Linked DNA regions of Drosophila melanogaster. The protein of the gene in region 2 interacts with the protein of the main gene of each other region in a pairwise test. Each region holds a gene or a part of one and is shown on either strand. Other genes may lie near its edges.

Region 1 (4,846 bases), 4.4 Mb from region 2:
TCGTGGAATCCCTGGAAATCTGAAAGCGGACACCTAACTCTATTGGGCTGTTAATCAAATTGAATTGTTCGAGCTGCCGTGGCTGCAAGCGTTGTTCGCCTAATTAGTTTGTAATCAAAGTCAGCTTACGATTGACTTGTTGATGGATTCGATTCAACTCGCAGGGCAGTTCCAAAGCCCTAAGTCCTAAGTGCACTTCGGGAACTCTGCAGGTGAAGTGTGCCCCAGCTCGAGGAGCACCCAGCTCAACTTGGAGCATGGTGCCATCGCAATCGCAAAAAGCACAAACAGTGCGCCTGTTTCTCGCGGCTAACACCGAAATCATCTGCTCCGGCGTCTGTGTTTATACAATGTAATCGAATGGGAATGGGATTGAGACTGTGACTGGGGATTGGGGATTGGGGATTGGGGATTGAGGACTGGGAAGACGTGTGCCATGCAACCTGTTGTGGGCCAGCCCCCGTTCCGGGTAATTCGAACGGCTTTCTGGCCGCTGGTCGGGATTAGTAAGCGCTGCTGCTGCCAAACGGTCGAGACAATCGCTGCTATCCGCCAGATACTATTTTTAACATTTTCCGTTTAATTGCCGCGTGAGGGAGCTACGCACAAAGAAATCGAATAGAGCGCGGCGCAATGAATGAAATTTGTCAATTTAATGGGTTGCACACACATGTGTCTCTGCCTCCGCAGCCGAATGTATCTGCATCTGCATGTCGGCTGCTTTTCGCCTTGCTGCGCCGCATTTGCCAAACTTTGAATGAAACTGAAGTGCACTGGTCGAAAGTCCCGCCGGTGGGGAGCTCGTCCCCAAATTACGACGGATTCTGCACGCCGGTGCGTAAAATGATCAAAGCTGCTGCGGCCAAACTTGCGTATCTGTATCTGTTTCTGCCCGAGTCCCGAATCTAGGCGAATGGAATGCGCAAATTTGTCAATTTGGCCACTTCCGAGATGGAATCCACATGGCTGGTATCTTGATGATCCGAAATAGGCAACCAGAACCGTACGCAACATCTGCTCCCATCTCTGCACTCAATTAATCATTCGACTTCTGACGACAAACACGCGTTGGCCAATTCGTTTAAACGCTCCCAATCCCCCGAATATCGCAAATATCGAATTTAGCCGGACAAAAGTGGGTCCACGCCCACTCATCCTCACACGAAGTACAAAAGTTGTCGGCCAAACAGTCGCTATAGTTAATAATTTCATAAATTTTGTGGCGAGAAACGAAATGATAAAGCCAAATGGTTTCATAAATAAACACTGTGTGCGTTGGTTTCGAGCACCAAACGGTTGGAAAGCCTTTGCGATGAATGAATGACAACTGGAAACTACTTTTCCTTTGGATCAAATCCATCTCATATCTTTTCCTCTAATTAATAAATACATCTGAGGTGGGTGGGCCGTTGAGTAGCCAACTTGGAAACGTGGAAAACTTAGAAAAAAATTGAGCGGTGAATAAAACAACAGAATTTTTCTTTTGGTGTGTAAACAAGTTTCCTTTCCAAATATAAGTGAACATGCAATTCCCGTGCTTTTGCCTTCGTTTCGATTCCCTCAGAATTGCTTCTCAAGTGCCTCGAGTTGGTTTTCCGATGGCTTTTGGCCATTTGGAATTCGCCAATGCCACGCCGCCAAAAAGCGAAGTGCACTTTGGCTCTCAGCTCTCCTCATTGAAATCGGCAAAACGTTGTGAATCTATGGACTTCGATGATAGATTGATCCATTAGAAAGCGGATAGAGATACGCCGTGACATTTATGGACTGCATTAATGTTTTCGCTGCACACGCTTTAAAGGCTATTTAAAGCACTAAAATATATTTTTAAATGAAGTCTTCAAATAGGCAAAGTGATTGATACTTTCTCAGAGAACTTTAGGCTTTTCTAATCAAGAATAACGCTTTGCTGTAAGTTCCATTTTAACCGTATGGGATGTTTAATAAAAGGTCTATGTTCTATGATCTTATCTATAGGTGATAAGTGATTTCTTGAACATGTGGTTAGTTCTTCTAAGGCTTAGTTTGACCTATTGAAATTATTATTTTTCTGAAACTTTTGTATATATTTATGGTTTTATAATTTTAAGGTTCCAATATGGAAATGTATAATCTAATATTAGCTATATTTATTCACATAATCGTCCCGAAATTTATCATAGTTATTATATCTCCTTTTTCAAGTATCAATGCCAATTTTATTTTAAATTAATCCCCCATATACCATTCGTTTTTCTTATTGTGAAAGAATATCCGTCCTACTTATGCATCTACATATATTTTTGCCATGGTTTCTAGTGTTCCACAGTAAACTTTTGCCGTCGGCAGCATGAAAACTGAATCTCGCTGCTCACCTGTATTTTGATTATTTATTGTTGATACGTATCCGAGTTTGTTAGTTTTTGTTTGTTACTCTTTGTTTGGGTTTGTGCCTTTTGCCTTGGCTTTCCGATTCGACTTGTGCTATATCCGCAAATGTTAGAGTTGGCCAAGAAGGCGCTGATTTCGGCTGTGCGGCATTTCCTTGATTTGCATTTTGGCCAAACTCTTCAAATCGAAGCCATGTGCCGTTCGCGCACGCACACACTCTTAGTCGCGATCACACTGGGCACTAACTAACACAAGCTTGCCGTTGAATATTGCTCATACGCACTGTGCGAACACGTGTTGCAAATTACTTTTCGCGAAAACTTCGCTGTCCTGCGCGACTCGGACAAATTGCACCTGCAAATTTGGTGGGCAAAGCTGCGACGACAGCACTGAGGCAGTGCCAACAAAAAATGGCCGCCCGCGGATTGATTAGCTCAATTTTGCTCGCTTTTCTCTCGCTTCGTGTGCGTTTATGTGGCGCGATACTGATGCGTTCATTCAGGAAACACGCAAATTAAATATAACTTTGTGCGCGGGACGTCAAAAGACCGCCGGATCCGGCCTGGATTACTAAGCGAGCGACGTGGGTAGAACGGGCAGCGAACCGCACGCGACGGAATCTCGAAAACAACTGAGAACTCTCCGGTTCTCAAACCTAATCGAACCGAAAACGGCCGAGACAAAAGGCAGAAAATGGTTGGTGCCGCTGGCGGTGTGCGTGCGCCAGAGCGAGATGGCCGACTGGTCGTGCGAGTGTGTGAGTGAGCGAACACCAAGGGGGTGAACTGCACAGTGGGATGCACCGACACTTTGTGCGTCACTTTCCAAAAACGTTATAGGAAAATAATGGAATCAAGTGAAGCGAGACTTACATTCACTGACTTTTATAAAGTCACTGGGCACACACAGTTCATGATTACACATATATGAACTGATGATAACTCAGAATTCACTACGTTTTAGTTGTTTTCAATATCTTGCCTTTACAAGTGTTTTTATTTTTATTCTATTTTATTTTATTGTATTCTAATGTTTTCGTAGTAAGACATAGTACATTTTTCCGTTATTATATGCTATTGTATCTTCAAAACATTAGAAAATGGTTTTATATATTTTTAAAGTGGCTTACAATTAAGTTAAGTTAAGTTAAGTTAATTGGACAAATATTTTTATAAACGTGTAGCCATTGAATTTGACACACGGTGCCAATCGACAACAGTTTGACAGCCACTGCGAGAGGGGCAGCGTGCGAAAGAGCGAGAGAGCGCATAAACAGGTTGACCGAAAGAACGCCCCCTCGGCTTACCTGTTCGCACACACACACACACACACACACACACATAGATGCCCTCACGCACACCGGCGCACTGGAGGACAGCAACGTGCTGATTGGTCAGCGGAAACGCATGCCAGCAAAAAGGCATGCGCATTGGGCGCCATATTGAAAGGCGGAAATCGGAGGTGATTGCAACTGCATCGCTGCTCCTCCCCAGGAACTCCTCATCCTGGCTGAAAGGATGCCCGGTGCAATAGCTGCCATCCTACAATGCCGTTTGAATTACTCACCGCAATAGTTCCATGCATCTCTCGTATAATTGCAATTACTGGCCTTTTCTCATATTCATTCACTCCACTTTTTTGGTTTAACTCAACCTTGTGGTCCTTCCACATTAGTGCGGTTTGCATTGTATTATTTAATGATTCCGAAGGAGATGAAGCCGTTTGGTAATTGAAGCCAACTAATTGTGTTAATGATTTACTAATATATTTAGTTTACTAAATATTTACTATATACACAGGCTCCTTTCGTCTTCAAGTCCTTGTTCATGATAACTGAAATAACTTGAACCTAATTTAATTTCAAACTATTAACATGATCTAGAGACACCTGTACAAAGTGCAGCGATGCGTTCAGAATGCCTAACTTTCTTTTTGAATACAAATAGTCAACTTAAATCACAGAGTACTACACTGCTTAGTGAATTTTGTAGATGGTAATTAATGTAATTAATGTAAATTAATGTAATTAATGTAATGTAACGCTAAATGTATAGAAATTAGTCAAAGTACCTGTTGTTGGAGGAACCGCTTAGACAAATGGTATTATTTTCAGCACTTCTTTATTAAAATTCTGTCCCATTTATCGGTAGCTCGATCTCAGCGTGTGCCGTGAAAATCGCATCGAGGACCACCCAAAATGCAAATTCGGAAACGGAGCTGGGAAACTCGATCGAAATCCAACAAAGATGATGGACTAATGGGGCGCCAGGCCGGTGCACCTAATCAAGATCGGCAACTGCCCACACAGATCAGATGCCAAGTGAAGATCCATACCGCTGGCGATTTCAGTATCGTTTACAGCGATCGATAAGGTTTTGGCGCCAGGCCTCGACAGTCACCGATAGCCAAAATAAGTGTTAAAAAAATTAGGAAATCGTAAAATTTACATAATAACAGATCATATTTCAATCGAATT
Region 2 (4,889 bases):
TCATTGCGCCCAACTGCAAGTCGGGGGGTATGATTTCCATTCGCCGATCGGGTTACACGTGCTGCAAAAATGTTGCTCTGCGACTCTCTGTCCCTGTCTGTGGCATTAAATTAATTTCGCTCATTTGCCGGATGGAGCAGAAGCGTAAGGGACTGCGGACAGAGAGGAGCGGATGGATTCCGAATCGGAATCGGACCCGCTCACTCGTTAAAATGATTATAAAAACTTATCAATATAAAATTACCGCCAACTCCCGCTCGACTTACGAGCTCGTCCCGTAATCGCGTAATCACAATGGCAATCGGAATCCGAATCCGAATCTGAATCTGAATCCGAGTCTCCTCAGCTGCAGCGACCGCTAGCAACTCCTCTTTCAAATTCCGGACGCGGATTCAGATACAAAGTTGCATGGAATTTAATGTAGCACTTTTGAGCGGGGGCGGTAGCGGGGCGTTGCATTATCATTGGCTCTTGCATAAACATTTCCAAATAGCCCAACAGTCAACTGAGACGAACTGAACTGCACTGAACTGCGCTGAACTGAAAGCCGAAACGATTTTTGGTTCTCTGGCCGAGGGATTTGGAGTCGGATTCTTTGATTTCAGCGCTTAGTTGGAAGTGCTCTTTGGCTGGAATCGCTGGATTCGAGCTTGTAAGTGGAAACTATGTATGAGCAACATGCAGTTTACTAAATATTTTTGCGTTCGCTAAGGATGAAATGGAAATATGTGTTCTGCGGCAAAGGTAGTTACGTATATCATGAGCACACATTTTTATAGATATTTCCATGGCAACTACGAGATACGAGATCCACTTCAAAGCCACTCTAAGATATAGACTCCAAGATATAGACGCGCAACTGGCGAGTGGGTGTTATTCACCTTTCCCCCATCCAAACACTCGGAAACAAACAAATAATAATTATTCTGCGTATATGCAGCTCGCAGCTATAGAAGCCAAATGTTTTGCCAAGAGCAAAGAAGAACGTTCTTATTTTTAAATCCAACGCAAACTTTGTCAGCATCCTTGTTATTGAATACGCGGCGAAATAATGCGCAGACAGGGGCAATTAATTAGACGGCAAGAAAGTATCTCAAAGTGTTCATTCATACATTCACTCACCTTTATCTCATCGCTGGGCAGTTCTTTTTTGATCTGAACGGGAATCGCACTCGAGGATCCCACGTTGGCATCCCGAGAAGTGGACGATGGCGACGTCTTGGCGGACATTTCAACTGGATGCGGTATATAACTTTCGGGTGAAACTGGAACACAAGAGAGACCAGGGGTCAGAGTGGAGCCAGCCAGATACTTTTTTGGTTTTCTTTTTTTTTTTTTGAGGGGGATGTACATATTAATAGGGCGCCGAGTCATTGATCTTGCCACTGTAAACAAATGAACTTTGGCTCCATCAATCAATGGATCCAACTGCTCTGCCCCCAAAACAATTAATTACAGCGATTCATAGTTCTTTTTCGGATATTTCCTTGTGCCCTCCGCTTTGCAGGCCGATTCGCATCCATTGGATACGCATGCGGCAGAATCGGACTGCGATATATTTATACACCTCGCTCTGCATGTGTGTTTATCGTGTGTGTGCGTGTGTGTGAGTATCTGTGAGCGAGCGTGTTCGCTTGGCGCGCACTTTGGTGTCTTGTAATTCAATACCCCGTTCGGAACGAAACGTTACCACCTATCGCATGACACAAGACTACAAATTCAAATACAAAATATAAAGGCAGCACAACAAGAACACAGCGGATATATGCATAGTGTGGCCTGTATTTGTTGTTCTTTCGGAGGAAATCAGACAGAAAAGACGAAAATGTAGTTACACAGAAAAAAATATATCGCTATATTGATGTGGTTTCAAGCGGCGGGATTTCAAAGCACATTTCCATTACGAGTTTGCATAGCTTTAAAGTTTAGTTTAAGAATGTAAACAGAACTATATTTCATTTTCAGCTGTGCACCTAGAAGGAAACTATTCCGAATCTGAAGGGAATATTTTGTGTATCCAAAGTTGAGCAATGGGTATTTCCGGAAATGTTTTAGCTATAGATCTGAATTCAATCCCTCATTGAGTCCCTTAAATTTCATTAAATGTATCTCCATTGTTCATCTTAAATGCGTTCTTGCCTCGTTCTGCCAGATATATCTACCCGATTTCATTATTTTTGATTGCCCATTAAAAACATTTCACTCTGGCTGTTCTTTTGCCTTGGATTCATTTCGTTCTTCTTTTTTTCGTACTCTTATTTTTCTGATGGCTTTGTTTTGCTTTCGAAAGCTTTTCGAAAATAAAATGCAAGTCAAGTTAAAGCGTATATCTCGTATTTTTTAAGCATTATCATTTCTCGAGGTTTTTTGTGTATTGCTTCACTTGAGGTACAAATTTTTCAATGCATCGTGTGGAAGAAACAAATATATATTCCAAAAATAGCCAGATATTTTCAACATTATATTTTTGGCGTGTGTGCTTTTCAGCTCTCACTCACAATTGGCCTTTCTGCTTTCGCACGCTCTTTTCAGTTTTCTTGCGATGGATTTTCCGAAGCAACGAACGTCAAGGAAACTCATGCACCGTGCTCATTTTCATTCCTCTTTCTTCAGTTTTCACTTTCACACATGCACGGCCCGAGAATTCGTTTCGAATCAACCGTTTAATCCGACCAAACCGAATATACCGATTCGCGTTCACAAATTTTTTTTTCGAAGCGGTACCGCGCACATCCACGTCCACACGCGTTCGCGTTTCATGAACATTTGAGCCAGCCGTCCGGTGGCATGTGGATTTTACTTGCTTTTGCTGCTTCTCTGCTGCTTTTGCTGCTTTTGCTGCTTCTCTGCTGCTGAGTCGCTGCCTCGCTGGCTCGGTGTTGTTGCCTTCGTTCCTTCGTCATCGTTGTGGCGCAGCTGTGGGTCTGATGTGATGACGTAGCGCCCACCCCCAATGGGACCAAAACATCAGCCGCACAGCGAAAAATTATATACTTTCAATAACTTAGATAACCGTAGATCTGCTACGAGTTTTTTCTAAGTTTGTACAGGCTAGCAAAATTTGAAGTAGAATATTTATTCATTTTGCAGTGATAATTTCAGAATTCATACGGTTTTTTAATATGATTTGATGGTTTAAGAAAAGTTTAATTAAACAGCGTGTCATATTTATCTTATTTTCAATTAACAAATATACTTTAAAAAAAATGCAATATCAAATTGATGATCTTTCCTTACCCAAAAAAGTTTCAATAACTTACGCGTATTTTCTCGCAGTGCAATGACTCAAGAGAGCGGCGCAGACGCTGGCATCTCTGGCAGATGAAAACGAAAACGAAATTGCACTCGGCTGCAGCGCGAGATTCTTTTGCATAATTTGCTATATGTAGGCGCATTGGGCAGTTAAAAATAAATCTCACCGCTTCACCTGCCTTCGTTTTGTTCTGCATCGGATATTTATGTTATGTTCAATTTTTGTTTAATTTGCACAAAATACTTGTGCGCCGGCGGAGACAAACGCACTTGGTCAGAGATCAGAGAAACGGCTGTGGGAAATTAATGGGGAGCATCTTAAGTAACGCGAGGAGAAAATGCATTTTGACAGCCAGAAAGGTCGAAAATGGCGTGCCGAGGATAAATTAAATCGATATTGATCATCCGATTGGCTAAATTCTATGCCAAAATTAAACTTAAATAAATTTCAAAGTATATGAAATACGTAAAGTATAATTTGTAGGATATTTCCACCTAATTTAAAGTGTAAACTTTAAACTTTAAGATATATTGTAAACTTAAAGATACTTTAAAAATATTTCTAACTTACAATATCTTTTTAAGTTTTTATGGTTTTTTTTATATAAATATTCTCCGCGTAAAAACAGACGGTTTGACTCTACTTCTAATAACACTGAAATATATATTAGATATAATATCTAACCTGGTTGATTCACATTCTCCATAGGGCCCAACTGCTGGCCAGCAGAGTTATTGGTCACTAGACGTGACCATGGCACTTGGCTTGGAAAACAGTTGGCAATTCTATCAAGAAACCCGGTACTTGGGGGAGAACTTACCACTAGCCGACGCCAAGTACCAACTATCAGGAGATAGTACCAATCCCTTGGCGAGTCTGGTACCTGATGGTAAATAAACGGAATGGTCGAAGAAACAATTGAATCGTTTAAGTAGAACATCACAATCAGAGAAGAAACAGGGGCAGAGCAGCTGGCGTGCCAATCAAACAATGTGCTCATGTAGATAAATGTGGCATTTAATGCCGAGAATTTAATTTGATTTGAACACGAGCCAGATAAATTTAGTGTTGGATGTCACTTCGTTCGTTCCCACGCCGCATCAATGCGCAAAAACATAAGTTTGTTAGGACATTACAACAATTTAGTTTATTTCTGCGACTGACTCATTAGTGGCGGTTGATGAAATGAGATTTTAACATAAATTGCTGTTGGCTTTCGCTACAAATTGTTTTCCTTTGCCCTATAATAATTGATCACTTTAATAACAGGTGAATTGTACTACAAACAACATTAATTTCATGTAGGAAAACCAATTAAACTAATTGAAAGTTAGTAAACTATAATAATGAAAGGTAAAGTTATTTTTAAGAATATACAAATTAAGTTCAGACACTATAAAAAAGTCTTCGATTATACGTATATAAATTATTATTTATTTTTATTAAATTTTCGAATTTTAAATTTTAGCGCATTTGTATAAGCCTATCAATATATCGATTGTTCAGTATAAGCTTAATAATAATCGGTCCTTCTCTATAATTCTAACATCTGACTATCATCAGCTGTTTTTGTTATGATTTTTCTTGACTAATTACAAATAATTTTTAAAATGACAGAATAACTTGAAAACTAAAA

Evidence for each region. The genes of interacting proteins can lie anywhere in the genome.
Region 1: the proteins of Sobp (region 2) and so interact in a two-hybrid assay, tested with the Drosophila melanogaster proteins (2 studies listed by BioGRID).

The regions. Positions count from the first base shown.
Region 1 is NT_033778.4:7,417,507-7,422,352, reverse strand, and holds the start of so (sine oculis), read right to left. Parts: upstream 3,004-4,846; 5' UTR 2,355-3,003; intron 1-2,354. UniProt on the Drosophila melanogaster protein: Required for visual system development. May transcriptionally regulate genes necessary for optic lobe invagination and Bolwig's nerve formation.
Region 2 is NT_033778.4:11,836,774-11,841,662, forward strand, and holds the start of Sobp (sine oculis-binding protein), read right to left. Parts: upstream 3,053-4,889; 5' UTR 2,581-3,052; coding exon 2,499-2,580; intron 1,266-2,498; coding exon 1,123-1,265; intron 1-1,122.